Saccharomyces cerevisiae S288C: one gene and its partners. The protein of the gene in region 2 binds, or shares a complex with, the protein of the main gene of each other region. Each region holds a gene or a part of one and is shown on either strand. Other genes may lie near its edges. The genes, in order: BUD32, CGI121, PCC1 and KAE1. A codon is read from its position in the direction of its gene.

Region 1 (4,065 bases), on a different chromosome or scaffold from region 2:
CATTTTCTGGGAAATGAGCACTGGCAACATAATATTTCAATTCTTTGAATATTTCTTTAACGTTTGATTCATTTATTAACGTGGACAAAATTTGGATCTTCCAAATTGATGCCACAATAGGATCTTTGGGGAAAACGTAAAATTTCTTGGTGTAGGGTAAAAATAGTGTCTGGTCTAAGATCGATAAGAAGTGAATTGCTTGTAAAAGCATTTCTTTGTTACCTTGGTTTTCTGTCATGGTTACCGTTCTAACCAATGCTTCAATAAATTTAGTATTTTTCATCTGCAATGGTGAAGCTAACTGATATAGCGCATTGCAACACGATAAAATCACTGTAGGGTTGGAACTATAAATTAAGCAATTCAAACTCTGTAGAAATAAATCTAAATCAGGGTCATTTACCACCTCGTAAGATGGGTATTCAATCTCGTTGTATTTATCTGGTAAAGGACAACTCCTTGGGGAACCTTCTGATGATTTATCGACCACAGTTGGTTTTGGTAAATACTGCTTACAGTACTTGATTAGCAGCTCAATTAAATATGATTGTGACCACGAATCTAGTTGCTTAATTATTCTACAATATCTGCGAAAATGTCCATGCAATAGCTCCAAGTGATCCGCATAACATTCTTTGTAAGCTAGGACAGCACAGGATATCACCTTAGGATCTGTATCTGCCATTAATTCTTTCAGAATATCCAACAATTCTTCATGATAGTCATTCTTTCCAGCCCTATATAATTTGATAATGGCCAAGGCGACTTCACCACGAACCATTGCAGATGGATCTGTAACCAATTTCTTGACAGTATGCAAAATTATAGGTGCTAATGATGACATTTTCATGTCAGAAAGGGCACTCAAAGCAAAGCATCTCAGTTCGGAATTCGAATCAGACAATGATTTTTGAAGAGAATTAATAGATAACAGGGTCAGGTTTGGGTCATTTTCTGCAAATCTAAGTAAATACAGGTGAATAAGTCTTTTCACTTTGGTGTCATTAGTGGTGATATTCTTTACAACATCAGCAAAGTATAATTGAACGTCAATAGAGTCATCATCGGAAGCCATTATAGATATTATTCTCTTCATTGCATCTCTAACTTCTCTAGAGTTCCTAGAATTTAACAAGGTGACTAACTGTTGAGGATTGATGTTTTGAGAATAATAAGTATAGGAGGATTCACCCAGCTTAGAGGTGGCTACCGCGGCAGCTTCCCTCGTTATTACTTTGGCCGTATCCAACGCCGATGCAATACGGTGAATTGAATCTACCATTGCTGGTTGTCCACTTTTCGATTGTTTGCTGTCTTTGGTTTACCTTTCTTTTCTTTATATATTTATATATATGGTTCTTCAAAAATGATTTGTCTGAATTTGTCAAAATCTCAATAACTCGGACACGCTTTGATGGTAACATACCTAAAAGTTATGTACGTTAATATAAATTATAGATACATATTATGTGCAGCGATATACAGGCAGTACGCTAGCATTTATATTATCCTAGCATACTTCTCTTACGACCACGCAACCTGACCTCTTCGAATCTTTTGGTAACTTCTTTCAGTTTCTTGGCACCTTTCGCACCTTGTTCACGATAGACCTCTTCGAACCCCTCCATGATCCAAGCATTGTATTTTTCCGCATGCTTCGAATGTGTACTTAAAATAGCTCTCTCTAAGACGTATAAATCGACGCCTTTATCTTCGACCAGGTTTGAAACTGAGCCCAGACCGAAATCAATCAAATGAGGCGTCCATCTCGCACCATCTCGCACGAGAACAATGTTAGAACTTGTCAAATCACCATGACAGTAGTCATTCCAGTGCAACAACCCAATTTGGCGCCCCACTTTCCGTAGTGTAGTTGCTACAAGATCACTATATGGATCTTGGTCATGCATCCAAAGGAAGTTCTTTAGGTTACTAAAACCGTGCCCTCCGGGAAGATCTTCTCCAAGGAACTCTAACCAAATGAATCCATTGTATGGATCACACGCTATCAGTTGAGGGACACATAGCCCTGGAATCAAGTATAATTTGGCCAATAAACGCGACTCATTCAACGTACGATGTTTTGTTAGTGCCTGGTCTATTTGTGGATGTCTATAACGCTTTGGTGGCCTATATTTGATAATATACTTTTGATGAGAATCCTTTGCTCTTGGGAGATATGGGTGAGTAGTCGTTGTGAAAACAATGGCTTCTGCACCTTGAGAAATAGGTGCAATGTCCACATCAGGAGTCAGGTAGGAAGATACTTTATCAATGAATTCTTGCGTCATAATGAGCAAAGCGTATAACCTTTTCCGCTGTCGTATTCATCACTTATTTGATTTCAAGTAAGGTTATCTTTGTCCTTCAAGTTGGTGATGCGCCGGCGATTTTTTCAACCTTGTTGCTGCTAAAATAATGGAAAATCAAAATAAATTTGTGCTGACCCAAATATTTATGTATATAAAAGGGGTTATGTAATTGTCATTATGACAAATTCAGGATTGCATAAACTCAAGAATGCGAGCGATAGATGGTATGTTGGTCCAGCGATCCATATTACGAGAGTAGTTTAATATTGGGCCCGTATGATAACCTTGGTGTTCAACCAGCACATTTTTGGCGGTAAAGTGGTTACATCCCTCGCTAGCGTCACTCATTTTCTTTGCCAAGATCTTGTTTTGAAAGCTCAACAACTCATCACTACCATAAGTAATCATCACAGAGCACTTTTTCAGAATATCTTGCCACATTTTAGTTTCGAAATTCTTTTCAATATTAACAAAAGGGTCGCTGGTAAAATCGACGTTTGGGTTGTTTCCTACAAACATTCGCCCAAACATCGAATGACTCTTCAAACATAGACCATCCCATTCTTGTGTTCCTTGCATATATTCCTTTTCTCCCTCGTGGAAGAAAGTGGCATTGGCCCAGGGACTTATGGCTATGACTTTTTTCGGGTATATTTCTCTGTGACACTTTCTTAAATATAAAACAATGTTCAAAACAGCATTGCCACCAGCAGAATCCCCCATAATCACTACATTTTTGCACCCCATAGTCTTAACAACGTAATCAAAAATGGCCACATTTTGTAAAATTTGCAGAGGGTACTTTTTCGACTGGTCATCGGTAGCTGTAACGGTATAATCTGGTACAAGAATGGCCATTTTAGGAAAGGCATTTCGCATATTATTCAAGAAAGAAAACGACGTAGGCGTCAATTTAAGAGCATAACCACCCCCATGATAGAATACTAAAACTGGATCTGTCGTGGGGTCAAATCCTTCCGGCATAACATATTGATAAAACTTTGTGCTAACTATTTTGGGTGCGTTTAATTGATGGTCTTGGAAAATATTGTTTTCTGGAGATTTCTGATCTTCTATAGGAATGTTGCATTTGACATATGTTGGACTAGAAAATGTAGAAGGATATAAACAAACAAATAAAGGATTGAGCACGTATTGACAGATGCGTTCATCGAGGATCCAAGAACTTTGTCTTAAAAAACTTCTGTTGACATGGTCAAGGCAAAACCTACGTTTGCGTTGAAAAATGATCTTCATACTGTCGAGGATTATAAATACAGGCACCACTGTGAACAATAGAGCGGCAAATTTCAATCCATGGAACAAATGCAAATGGATGGTACTCAATCGAAAGCCCGCATCATTTTGATCTGCATCCTCACTTGATACAGCGCTAATAATTTCATTCTCTTGAAGCCGATAATATTCAACTTTTGAGTCGAGACCAGAGTTGGCTGCCATTCTTCTTTGAAACCTTTTCCTTTAAAATTGATTTGTGCTGTTCTCATTTCAAGCGACGCAGGGTATTTTTGGTTTTCAGTTTCTTTTTCCCTCAATTCTATATAATTATGGCGCTAACACGTTAAACATTTGTTATTATAAAGCAGAAGTTATTTATCAGAAATCAAATCATGAATATTCTCAGCTTAACACTACACAATTACTCAACTAAAAGAAAGGGTATAAACGTGTTAGCGGGAGAATTGTTTTTTAAACTTGTTTTTATATCAGAGTAAAATCTATATATTAATTG
Region 2 (3,899 bases):
GATTGACAACAAAGTTATTTCCCATAATGTTCGTTGGTTAGTCCAAATTCCGAGGTTATATGATATTTACAAGAAAACTGGCATTGTTCAAAGCTTCCAGGACATCTGTAAGAATCTGTTTCAGCCACTATTTGAAGTGACCAAAAATCCTCAGTCTCATCCAAAATTGCATGTATTTTTACAGAGAGTAATTGGGTTTGATTCTGTCGATGATGAATCCAAGGTTGATCGCCGCTTTCATAGGAAATATCCCAAGCCATCACTCTGGGAGGCTCCTCAAAACCCTCCTTATTCCTATTACCTGTACTATTTGTATTCAAATGTCGCGTCTTTGAATCAATGGAGGGCTAAGAGAGGGTTTAACACTTTGGTTTTGAGACCACATTGTGGTGAAGCCGGTGACCCCGAGCATCTCGTTTCAGCATATCTATTGGCACATGGTATATCACATGGTATTTTATTGAGGAAAGTTCCATTTGTTCAATACTTATACTATTTAGATCAGGTTGGTATCGCAATGTCACCCCTTTCTAATAACGCATTATTTTTGACCTATGATAAAAACCCATTTCCGAGATACTTTAAAAGAGGTTTGAATGTCTCACTATCCACAGATGATCCTTTACAATTCTCATATACCAGAGAACCATTAATCGAAGAATACTCAGTTGCAGCACAAATTTATAAATTGTCTAATGTAGATATGTGTGAATTGGCAAGAAATTCCGTGTTGCAAAGTGGGTGGGAAGCACAAATCAAAAAACATTGGATAGGGAAAGATTTTGACAAGAGTGGTGTTGAAGGTAACGATGTGGTTAGAACAAATGTTCCTGATATTAGAATTAACTACAGATACGATACATTATCAACTGAACTGGAATTAGTTAATCATTTTGCCAATTTCAAGAGAACCATTGAAGAAAAGTGATGGTTATACGCGCACATGTATATAAGGAGAACTTTTGGCAGTTCGATACACTGACTTCACGGAGAACAAATAATACTAATCTGAAAAATAATCAAAGAATTTTTTTTATAATTTTATCGTTAGATATCTCTTATCTACACACCCCTCAATTGAATAGCGTCTACCAAAGCTCTTGAGAGACCATTTACGTCTTGGGGCTTGAAATCATCACTTAATTTATAGATCTAATAGGTAAAAACAAAATAAAAGGAAAACAAAGGTGAAGTTAGTACAATGTGTTTCTGGTGAGGCTGTTGAAGTTTTTACCTCGAATTTATTATTAAAACATACTTTTCTTATGAGCGCTTCGTCATAAAATCTCGATAAATTGTCATCATTAAACTCGATCTCTTGTCCTTTTACTATAGAAGTCATAATCGTCCTCAATTGCTCTTTGTCTACATCGTCAGTATTAGTATGGAACTTAAGGCATATTAACTGTGACGAATCGTCTTTGATTCCGAATTTGAGGAAAGCATCACTAATATTGGAAGTGGGTGAAAGACATAGTACGCACTCGGAATTCAAATTTCTTGTTCTCATCTTGTTATATTTCACTTCTATTAAGGTCTTGTAAATTGCAGAATACATCTGCTCCCCCGAACAGACTAACCGGGGGTCAATAAAGGCAAAGGATGTCGACAATTCACTCATTTTAGAGCGTATTTCTTTAGCATTTTTAACCTGTTCAAACAATGCTAGTGAAACCTTGATATCAGGAAATTGCGGTATGATGGATACTACCATGATGATTGTATAATGGGCAGCGACGACGTATATTTGGTTATATCGACAAATTTGTTGACCGATAAAAGATTGTTGATGTATATTTTGGTTTGCAATTGAAATTTTCGCGCAAAAGATTAAACATGAAATATTGAAATCAATGGTATTAATGATCAACGAATATTACAGATCATCAATTAAAGAAACAAGCATTGTCAGAATCTAAGCTGGTTATTTTTTGGGAAGGACAAATTATGGACGAAAACAAAATAATCGACCAGTTGTTCAGTAAGGAATACACACCGCAAGATGACTCCGAGCAAGCCAAAAATGGAGATGTGTCGTTATATGGGTTATTAGATGAAGTAGCGAACGGTAGGCGGTTGATGAACTGTTTGTTTCATTCACCTATGCAAATGGGGAATAAATTGAGTACCGACAAACTTGATGGGAAATGTCGGCAAATACAAAGAGATTGGATTGATGAGGAAAAAACCATAACTATGAATTCTGGCGCTTTACAGCTGGATGGGCCAGTTCTATTTTCCTGGAGTCATAATGTAGCACCTACTTCTCATCAAGAAACTATAAATACAACCTTCAAGCAGGGCTCTCCGAGCAGAGGAAGCAACAAGCCCAAAATTACTACTACCAGTCAGTTATTTGATAGAGCTTCTGCTGAGATTGATAAGTGTATAAAGCCCAATAGCAAAAGTTGGATGGTGGAAGAAAGATTTGAGAGAAATGAGGCACATACAGCTGATGGCAAGAAACCTTCTACGTGGGCTAATTCCGATTTCAAAGTGGACCCGCTACAGAAATTCGTTGTTAAGGAATTGCCCAAAGAAAAGAAGAAATCAGACGGTGATAAGACAAAGAAAAATAAGTCGAAAAGGAAGAGTTTTTTTGGATTTTGGGGCCATTCTGGTTCTAAATCAGGTTCAAAAAAGAAATCCGAAAAGCCTATAGAGGCCAAAAATGAAATTCAGGATGAGGTAAGCCAAAAATCTGGCCTATCACCTGACGATGATACAACTTTCAGTGATAAAAATACCATCCAATCAAAGCAAGAGAGTATGAGTGATCAACAAGCTGAACCCAAAGTACACGAGCCCGCAGTTACTAACACTGGATGCAGTGAACATGATGATGGTGATGGATTTGAACAGGTACCTGCACAATCTAGTTATCATCCATCCAGCGAGCCCAGCATTGCCAGCACTCCTTCATTAACTCTAGATTCATTCATCCCATTACAACCAAAGAAGAAAATATAATAGATGCTTGTAGGCTTCAACATCTATTAGAGTCATCGGCGACGAGACGCCAAAAAATAAAGCGCAAAATAATCACACCCATTTTTTTTGTCGAGAATGAGAAGGAGATGGCTTAGAACTGGAAATATAAGGGATAGTGGCATCACGAGAAGCTGTTGTTCTGTTTTTTTAAAGTGTCAATTGGCCTGATTATACTCATAACTGCATTTTCATCACTTCCACGATCACTTGAAGTTGTTACAGCGAGTGTTTATACCTTCAATTCTCGTGTCACATTTTGCTATGAATAGGACTGTCTTTTTGGCATTTGTATTTGGATGGTATTTCTGTTCAATAGCTCTCTCCATATACAATAGATGGATGTTCGATCCGAAGGACGGATTGGGTATTGGGTATCCCGTGTTGGTGACAACATTCCATCAGGCTACTTTATGGTTACTATCCGGCATATACATTAAGCTCAGGCATAAGCCAGTGAAAAACGTTTTAAGAAAGAATAATGGTTTTAACTGGAGTTTTTTTCTAAAATTTTTACTCCCTACGGCAGTCGCTTCTGCAGGTGATATCGGGCTCAGTAACGTTTCCTTCCAGTATGTTCCCTTGACAATTTATACAATTATCAAATCTTCGAGCATAGCTTTTGTCCTTTTATTCGGCTGTATCTTCAAGCTAGAAAAGTTTCATTGGAAGTTGGCACTTTCAGTAATAATTATGTTTGTTGGTGTAGCATTAATGGTTTTCAAACCAAGCGATTCCACCAGTACCAAAAACGACCAAGCCTTGGTCATTTTTGGCAGCTTTCTTGTCCTAGCAAGTAGCTGTCTTTCTGGGTTAAGGTGGGTTTATACGCAGTTGATGCTTAGGAACAACCCAATTCAAACTAACACCGCTGCAGCAGTAGAGGAATCTGATGGTGCCCTTTTCACGGA
Region 3 (3,831 bases), on a different chromosome or scaffold from region 2:
TTGGAAAAAGCGCTCACAAGACATATTGGAGAAACATGAACAATTGAGCTCAAGCGATTATGAGAAGCTAGAAAGCGAGATAGAAAATTTGAAGGAGGAACTAGAAAATAAGGAGCGTCAAGGAGCGGAAGCCGAGGAAAAATTTAACAGGCTGAGAAGACAAGCGCAAGAGAGATTAAAAACATCAAAACTCTCACAGGACTCATTGACTGAACAAGTAAATAGTCTAAGGGATGCAAAGAACGTGTTGGAAAATTCCTTGAGTGAGGCAAACGCGAGAATCGAAGAGTTACAAAATGCAAAAGTAGCACAAGGTAACAACCAGTTAGAAGCAATAAGAAAATTACAAGAAGACGCAGAAAAGGCTTCAAGAGAGCTTCAAGCCAAGTTAGAAGAAAGTACGACTTCTTACGAATCTACGATAAACGGCTTAAATGAAGAGATTACAACATTAAAAGAAGAAATTGAAAAACAAAGGCAAATCCAGCAACAGTTACAAGCTACATCTGCAAATGAACAAAATGACTTATCTAACATAGTTGAGTCTATGAAAAAGTCTTTTGAAGAAGATAAAATCAAATTCATCAAAGAAAAAACCCAAGAAGTTAATGAAAAAATACTCGAGGCCCAAGAAAGGCTAAATCAACCTTCCAATATCAATATGGAGGAGATTAAAAAAAAATGGGAATCTGAGCACGAACAGGAAGTATCTCAAAAGATTCGCGAAGCTGAGGAAGCCCTCAAAAAGCGAATCAGATTACCCACTGAGGAGAAAATTAATAAGATAATCGAACGAAAGAAGGAGGAATTGGAAAAAGAGTTTGAAGAAAAGGTTGAGGAGAGAATAAAATCAATGGAACAATCTGGAGAAATAGACGTGGTGCTTCGAAAACAGCTAGAAGCTAAGGTTCAAGAGAAACAAAAGGAATTGGAAAACGAGTATAACAAAAAATTACAAGAAGAACTCAAAGATGTACCACACTCAAGTCATATCTCAGATGATGAAAGGGACAAATTACGAGCAGAAATCGAAAGCAGGTTGAGGGAGGAGTTCAACAATGAACTGCAAGCCATAAAGAAGAAATCCTTCGACGAAGGAAAGCAACAAGCAATGATGAAAACTACCCTTTTGGAAAGAAAACTTGCCAAGATGGAATCTCAATTGTCAGAAACAAAACAAAGTGCCGAGAGTCCTCCGAAATCTGTTAACAATGTACAAAATCCATTACTAGGATTACCTAGGAAAATCGAAGAGAATTCAAATTCACCATTCAATCCGTTACTTTCCGGTGAAAAACTCTTAAAGCTAAATTCTAAGTCTTCATCAGGTGGATTTAACCCTTTTACCTCGCCATCCCCAAATAAGCACTTACAAAATGATAATGACAAAAGGGAGTCGTTGGCTAACAAGACAGATCCACCAACTCATTTGGAACCCAGCTTCAACATTCCCGCCTCAAGGGGTCTAATATCTTCATCTTCCACTTTGTCAACTGATACAAATGATGAAGAACTTACTAGCAACAATCCTGCCCAAAAGGATTCATCGAACAGAAATGTTCAATCGGAAGAGGATACAGAAAAAAAGAAAGAGGGAGAACCTGTTAAAAGAGGAGAGGCAATAGAAGAGCAGACGAAATCCAACAAGCGACCTATTGATGAGGTAGGAGAGCTGAAAAATGATGAAGACGACACTACAGAAAACATTAATGAGTCAAAAAAGATCAAGACTGAAGATGAGGAAGAAAAAGAAACCGATAAGGTGAATGACGAGAACAGTATATAAAGGAGATAGTAAAAACAAGGGATCAATACAAACTAAACCTTTTTCAATGTGGAGGAGCTTCATTCTGCCCTATGTCAAGACCATTTGTAATATACGTACAACAGCATTCTTGTTTCATAAAGTTTATATATGTATAAGCTAAGATGAAGTCACGTAAATAGCTCAAATGCCGATTTTTTAATACTCCAAACACAGAATCCTCTATATATGGAAATGGAATCATGAATCTTACGGTTTGTGTTTTGAATGTTCCAAACAGATTTTCTTAGTGTTCCGATCTCTGTTCCACCCACCAAACGAGAAAAAAGTAGGTCTTCGCGAAAACTCCAGCGACACCGCTGGTCCTTTAAGTTAAAATAATATGAATGGTGGAAGAACCCAGATCAACTTGACTGAAACAAGTCTGCCAACATAGACAGCTAAGAAAATTGATGACAAGCAAACGGGAAAAGTCACTGGATCACACATTGTAAGTAGAAGCAGTTTTTCAATGGGAAGACCGCACTGCATAGTTTACTAACTATTTAAACTTTCCAAACATTAGAGAACTAAAGATACCGTTTGAAACGGAGCGACAAGCGACCATAGCAACCAAAGTCCTATCTCCGGACCCGATTTTGAAGCCACAAGATTTTCAAGTAGACTACAGTTCCGAGAAAAATGTCATGCTAGTCCAGTTCAGAAGCATTGATGATAGGGTGCTTCGAGTGGGAGTTAGCAGTATCATAGACAGTATCAAAACCATTGTGGAAGCCATGGACGTTCTATCATAAATAATTAGAACACCGTATTAGTGTACATATAGTATAAGTATCTAGACGGCATTCATGCACATCATAACTTAAATATTTAAAATAGCATTAAGATAAAAAAATAAAGAGAGGTATAGTTGCTAAATGTCCTGGGGTTGCGTGTAAATAAACAATTGTTTGCTTTGAGTAAAGCAAGCATGTGGATGGTAGATGAGGCCTTATTTACTCCCATTAGCTGGGTAACGCAGAAAGTTTTAATATGAAAGGGTGACGGCGCTTGGCGTTTTTCTTGGATTGTAGAAGTCATGCTAGGCCCTTGGAGTAAGATAAGAGAGAACAAATAAAAGCTTTGGCAAATATCAACTCAGACGTCTTTTTTAAAGAGGATATAGAGCTTTGGTGTTGGCCTATTTCCCATCGCTGTTAAATTTCCGCTTTTTTGTTTTTTTTTTCCCTAAATTTGAGGAACAGCTGTTTATATTGATTTCCTTCTTTCCTGGTGCATATTGGTTGAATCATCAACGCTTAACGACTAACAAATTAGATCCAGAGTTACAGACGGGTGAGATTCATATATAGACCGAAGGAGTTTCACAATCCACTATATTATGCCAGAAACCTCTGTTCAGAATCCATTAAGGCTTTCTGAAAATGAAAATACTCGTTCGATGTTTCTGTCTGCATCACAGCAGCAGCGGCCATCTGCCACTCCATCCTTCCCTAGGTTGGTACGGAATACCACAGCAAATTTGAGTTTATCAGATTTTCAAGTGTTAAATCCGTCTTCTAAAAGGCAAAATTCAAACTCGGTTTACGATGATATAAATAGCAGTAAGAGGCGAATAAGTAGACCTAGATTTTCAGATATCGAAGGAAAAAATAATGACCATACTTACCCAGAAAGAACAACAGTCAAGGAATCAGAGAAAAATCCTTCTCCCAGATATGTGAGTAGTTCGAAAAGGGCCCTGAAAAGGGAAAACTCAGTTGGAATTACTCAATCCTCTGCATTGATTTCGAAATCATTTAGTGAAAACGGCGGAAGCATTGCACATGAGAAATGGAGCCCGGAAAATATGATAAAACCACTGAACGTTTCACAGAATTCGCTAGCTTTCGTGGATGCAGGGTCAGATGAACAGTCCAAGAGTGAAATTGTAGGCGGTTTCCAGCGTAAATCTAATAATAGTCAAGAAATCAACGACAAGGATAACAGTGCCCGAGATCAGGATTTCAATAACAGTGGCAACAACAACAATAATAACAATCACAGTAGCAATAACAATGACAATA
Region 4 (4,429 bases), on a different chromosome or scaffold from region 2:
AGAAAACAAGACTTTGTATACAAGGAATTCAAAAATCAATCTAGGAGAAAAAACATCGTCTCATTGACATTCATTTAAGTGGACTTCACCTTCATCTTTATATGTCTCATCCAGAGCGAATTCCGGAAGAAAGGTGTGTTGCCCCAACTATGCGCTTATCATGTTTAATTTACTATGAGGAGGTAAATGGCCGGTTGCTCCAGAAGATAAGCTAATCGGACGTAAGAAAAAGCATCCAAACTGACATTTAACAATCTTATCAGTTACCAAATCAAGTTCCCCGTTATCGCACTCGAGAGATATGGGCGATGTGACTTTGCTGCATGAGGTCAATGGGTAGATTAGTGAGGCTGCCTGATAGCGGCACGGCACCAACGACCCCTTATCAAAAGGAAATGGTATAAAAAAAAATAAATAATAATTATTAATAAAAATATCACTGATTACGATTCTAGTGAGCAGATAAGCGATCGGCTGAAAAAAAAAGTCCTAAAACAGATATCATGATGAAAAAAACAACCATAGATTCCACCGGATCAGTGAAAAAGTAATCAACGGACCTGTGGAAGGTCGGAATGAGTCGCCGACGGAACTCATGCTGCCCCTATTCTCCTTTGTGTCTGGTGTCAGGTCGATCTGCACAGCGTAATGATACTTCGACTAGTCAGAACGCAACATATTGTCCTTGGCACTGGTGTGTCTAATCTATTGTTGTAGGTTACGTAAGCAGGGGCAAGACACCATCTGATGGGTTGAAAAGAATGTGTAAGTATTAGAACCTTAGTTCAAACAGTAAAAAATACAGAGAGCTGTGTCTAATTTAATCATGTATGTTCTGTGTTGATTTATCTATCAATGCTTTAGTGCTTCGTAATAGTACAACTTCAGAGTGAGTATGAGAAAGTTTCTTTTAACTTTTGGCCCAGGATTTTTTGCCGGCCGGGCAACGCAATGTGTTCTCTAAATTGGGTAGTGATGATTTTATATACATCAGGTCAAACATAAACCAAGCGACAGATTTGTCGAAGATATTCGACGAGGTATTTTTTGATTACTTGACCCAGAGCGAGGTGTAAATGATGTATTTCACACGGATGGAACGCCCGCAAGAGTCTACTAAGCAAAACATGATGTTGAAATATCATCTGTTTAGTAATATTCATATTGCTAGTATACTATCATATGCGGTGTAAGAAGAGGACATAAGGTTGAAAAATAGTCATCAATCTAATGAAAGCTGAAATGCAAGGATTGATAATATAATAGGATAATGAAACATATAAAACGAAAGCAGAAAATAATCGTAGTATTATTATGTAGAAATATCGATTCCATTTTGAGGATTCCTATGTGCTCGAGTACAATTTCTAGTATATTCTGTGTATGTATATTATAGTCTTTATCATCAATGGCATCCCAACAATTATCTTAAAATTCACCCATTTGTCAAGATAATGGTTGATTCTTATTTAGACACAATAAAAAAACTTGAAGACATCTGCTTCTGAGCTGTAGAGGTACCAATTCGACGAAATATAAATATTTAAAACTAAGAGAAAAAATCCAACAAATAACGTTCCGTGATAGTTTAATGGTCAGAATGGGCGCTTGTCGCGTGCCAGATCGGGGTTCAATTCCCCGTCGCGGAGATTTTTTATTTTGCTTTTTATTCCTCCTGTAATATCGCTTTATACGGAAAAACTGAATTCTTTCATTATGATGAGTTCGAGAGTAACCATTTTTACTTCGTGCAACGATGCATATATTTATCTTTTACGTGAAGGGAATTCCCAAGCGTTCCCTAATGCAGTCGGGAGCAAAATGGTCAACTTGAACACTATCCCACCCAAAAATGGCAGGGACTACTACATTGCGCTTGGACTTGAAGGTTCTGCAAATAAACTGGGCGTTGGTATAGTTAAGCATCCGCTTCTGCCTAAACATGCCAACAGCGATCTATCTTATGATTGCGAAGCTGAGATGCTTTCTAATATTAGAGACACATATGTCACACCTCCTGGGGAGGGATTTTTGCCTCGAGACACGGCAAGGCATCACAGAAATTGGTGCATAAGACTCATAAAACAAGCACTGGCCGAAGCTGACATCAAAAGCCCGACACTAGACATTGATGTAATTTGCTTTACCAAAGGTCCCGGCATGGGGGCCCCTCTGCATTCAGTTGTCATCGCCGCCAGAACGTGCTCCTTACTGTGGGACGTGCCACTGGTGGGAGTAAACCACTGCATTGGTCACATCGAAATGGGGAGAGAAATCACTAAAGCTCAAAATCCTGTGGTACTGTATGTAAGTGGTGGAAATACACAAGTTATTGCATACTCGGAAAAAAGGTACCGTATCTTTGGTGAAACGCTTGATATTGCTATCGGTAATTGTCTTGATAGATTTGCAAGAACTCTGAAGATACCTAATGAGCCCTCGCCTGGCTACAACATCGAGCAGTTAGCTAAAAAAGCCCCTCACAAAGAAAACTTGGTAGAACTTCCCTATACAGTAAAGGGGATGGATCTTTCGATGAGTGGTATATTGGCTTCCATCGATTTACTTGCCAAGGATCTATTTAAGGGCAATAAGAAAAATAAGATCCTATTCGACAAGACAACGGGCGAGCAAAAAGTCACTGTAGAGGATCTTTGCTACTCTCTGCAAGAGAACCTATTCGCCATGCTAGTTGAAATAACAGAAAGAGCTATGGCTCACGTTAACTCCAATCAAGTTTTGATCGTAGGCGGTGTTGGTTGTAACGTGCGATTACAAGAAATGATGGCGCAAATGTGTAAAGACAGGGCCAATGGGCAAGTACATGCTACAGATAATAGGTTTTGTATCGATAACGGAGTTATGATTGCCCAAGCAGGACTACTAGAGTATAGAATGGGTGGGATCGTGAAGGACTTTTCTGAAACTGTTGTTACGCAGAAATTCAGAACCGATGAAGTATACGCAGCCTGGCGTGATTAACGATTTTTGTTACAGTTAGCCTAATGTTCACACTACGAATATATATATATATTTATATATGCCATACACCTTACATTTACAGCTCAGTGTATAACCTTGTGGAAGCGCGAAAATAAGCAAGAGACATTTGAAAATAATCAATAAACAAAGCTCAAAAAAATTAGATCATCACCTAACAAAATAAGACGTGGCAATTACAGAATGGGGGAAAGCTTGGATAGATGTATAGATGATATTAATAGGGCGGTGGACTCTATGTCCACACTCTATTTCAAGCCACCAGGAATTTTTCATAATGCCATCCTACAGGGAGCAAGCAACAAGGCAAGCATTAGAAAAGACATTACTAGACTAATAAAGGACTGTAACCACGACGAGGCGTATCTTCTGTTCAAAGTCAACCCTGAGAAACAATCCGTTTCACGTAGAGACGGCAAGGAGGGAGTATTCGACTATGTTATTAAACGAGATACGGACATGAAAAGAAATAGAAGGCTGGGCAGACCAGGGGAAAAACCGATCATCCATGTGCCCAAGGAAGTATATTTGAACAAAGATCGTCTTGATTTGAACAATAAAAGGAGAAGAACCGCCACTACAAGTGGCGGTGGCTTGAACGGTTTTATTTTTGATACCGATCTTATAGGATCCTCTGTCATTTCAAATTCAAGTTCAGGTACATTCAAAGCATTATCAGCCGTGTTCAAGGATGATCCGCAAATTCAAAGGCTCCTATATGCCTTGGAAAATGGAAGCGTGCTCATGGAAGAAGAATCCAATAACCAAAGAAGAAAAACCATCTTTGTCGAGGATTTCCCTACTGATTTAATTCTTAAAGTTATGGCCGAAGTAACAGATTTATGGCCACTAACAGAGTTCAAGCAGGATTACGACCAATTGTACCATAATTATGAACAACTTTCTTCCAAATTGCGCTTCATCAAGAAAGAAGTTTTGCTTCAAGATGATCGCTTAAAGACTATGTCACAGTACCATCCTTCTTCTTCTCACGACGTTGCTAAGATTATTCGAAAAGAAAAAGATGAAATTAGGCGGCTAGAAATGGAGATAGCCAACTTGCAAGAGTAGGGGAGCACTTCTCCTCAAGAATAGATATTTCCTTTGTCCTAATTGCATACATAGGCCACTGCAAATCATATAATTATGTATTACCTTACATCTAAATGTATAAAACCAACTGAGCGGATCCACCATGGGTCTGTCTCCTGTTAAAGCATGTAGCTTCATGTTTCTCACATAAACTTTCCTCATCGTAATGGAAAAAAAAAATAGTCATAAAAAAAAAACTAACCATGAATGACATATAAGATTACCACGAGCGAGAGTAAAAAAGAGTATCTCTATATGGGTTCGGGCGATACTAGAGGAGAAAGCTCTCTGGTAGCTAAACCAATCGAAATTATACTTAATAAGCTACCACATGCCA

What was found.
Region 1: the proteins of CGI121 (region 2) and BUD32 are in contact, whole or in part, in a crystal structure (PDB 4WW7), measured with the Saccharomyces cerevisiae proteins. Residues at the interface, in NP_013676.2 of Saccharomyces cerevisiae: Ser4 (codon at 1,705), Ile6 (codon at 1,699), Pro7 (codon at 1,696), Gln8 (codon at 1,693), Pro10 (codon at 1,687), Gly50 (codon at 1,567), Glu51 (codon at 1,564), Tyr54 (codon at 1,555), Ser55 (codon at 1,552), Tyr58 (codon at 1,543), Lys59 (codon at 1,540), Ile62 (codon at 1,531), Glu63 (codon at 1,528), Tyr66 (codon at 1,519), Asn67 (codon at 1,516), Asp159 (codon at 1,134), Phe160 (codon at 1,131), Gly167 (codon at 1,110), Arg170 (codon at 1,101), Ala171 (codon at 1,098), Val173 (codon at 1,092), Asp174 (codon at 1,089), Gln177 (codon at 1,080), Leu178 (codon at 1,077); in NP_011778.1 of Saccharomyces cerevisiae: Tyr12 (codon at 2,258), Leu13 (codon at 2,255), Thr14 (codon at 2,252), Asp16 (codon at 2,246), Val17 (codon at 2,243), Thr35 (codon at 2,189), His36 (codon at 2,186), Pro37 (codon at 2,183), Tyr38 (codon at 2,180), Leu39 (codon at 2,177), Pro40 (codon at 2,174), Ser77 (codon at 2,063), Arg78 (codon at 2,060), Ala81 (codon at 2,051), Tyr84 (codon at 2,042), Leu85 (codon at 2,039), Pro87 (codon at 2,033), Val91 (codon at 2,021), Pro92 (codon at 2,018), Gln93 (codon at 2,015), Leu94 (codon at 2,012), Ile95 (codon at 2,009), Ala96 (codon at 2,006), Cys97 (codon at 2,003), Asp98 (codon at 2,000), Pro99 (codon at 1,997), Tyr100 (codon at 1,994), Asn101 (codon at 1,991), Trp105 (codon at 1,979), Glu107 (codon at 1,973).
Region 3: CGI121 (region 2) and PCC1 share a complex: the UniProt entries of both Saccharomyces cerevisiae proteins name them as parts of the EKC/KEOPS complex.
Region 4: CGI121 (region 2) and KAE1 share a complex: the UniProt entries of both Saccharomyces cerevisiae proteins name them as parts of the EKC/KEOPS complex.

What each region holds. Positions count from the first base shown.
Region 1 is NC_001139.9:1,015,469-1,019,533, forward strand, and holds BUD32 (serine/threonine protein kinase BUD32), read right to left. Parts: upstream 2,292-4,065; coding exon 1,506-2,291; downstream 1-1,505. Other genes in the region: APL6 (AP-3 complex subunit beta), read right to left, coding at 1-1,282; SAY1 (steryl deacetylase), read right to left, coding at 2,499-3,773. UniProt on the Saccharomyces cerevisiae protein: Component of the EKC/KEOPS complex that is required for the formation of a threonylcarbamoyl group on adenosine at position 37 (t(6)A37) in tRNAs that read codons beginning with adenine.
Region 2 is NC_001145.3:203,457-207,355, reverse strand, and holds CGI121 (Cgi121p), read right to left. Parts: upstream 1,715-3,899; coding exon 1,259-1,714; intron 1,153-1,258; coding exon 1,063-1,152; downstream 1-1,062. Other genes in the region: AMD1 (AMP deaminase), read left to right, coding at 1-928; LFT1 (Lft1p), read left to right, coding at 1,948-2,970; YMD8 (Ymd8p), read left to right, coding at 3,253-3,899. UniProt on the Saccharomyces cerevisiae protein: Component of the EKC/KEOPS complex that is required for the formation of a threonylcarbamoyl group on adenosine at position 37 (t(6)A37) in tRNAs that read codons beginning with adenine.
Region 3 is NC_001143.9:623,647-627,477, forward strand, and holds PCC1 (chromatin DNA-binding EKC/KEOPS complex subunit PCC1), read left to right. Parts: upstream 1-2,217; coding exon 2,218-2,255; intron 2,256-2,330; coding exon 2,331-2,559; downstream 2,560-3,831. Other genes in the region: MLP1 (Mlp1p), read left to right, coding at 1-1,786; ESL2 (Esl2p), read left to right, coding at 3,147-3,831. UniProt on the Saccharomyces cerevisiae protein: Component of the EKC/KEOPS complex that is required for the formation of a threonylcarbamoyl group on adenosine at position 37 (t(6)A37) in tRNAs that read codons beginning with adenine.
Region 4 is NC_001143.9:510,552-514,980, reverse strand, and holds KAE1 (tRNA N6-adenosine threonylcarbamoyltransferase), read left to right. Parts: upstream 1-1,821; coding exon 1,822-2,982; downstream 2,983-4,429. Other genes in the region: SPC34 (Spc34p), read left to right, coding at 3,184-4,071; CAF4 (Caf4p), read left to right, coding at 4,348-4,429. UniProt on the Saccharomyces cerevisiae protein: Component of the EKC/KEOPS complex that is required for the formation of a threonylcarbamoyl group on adenosine at position 37 (t(6)A37) in tRNAs that read codons beginning with adenine.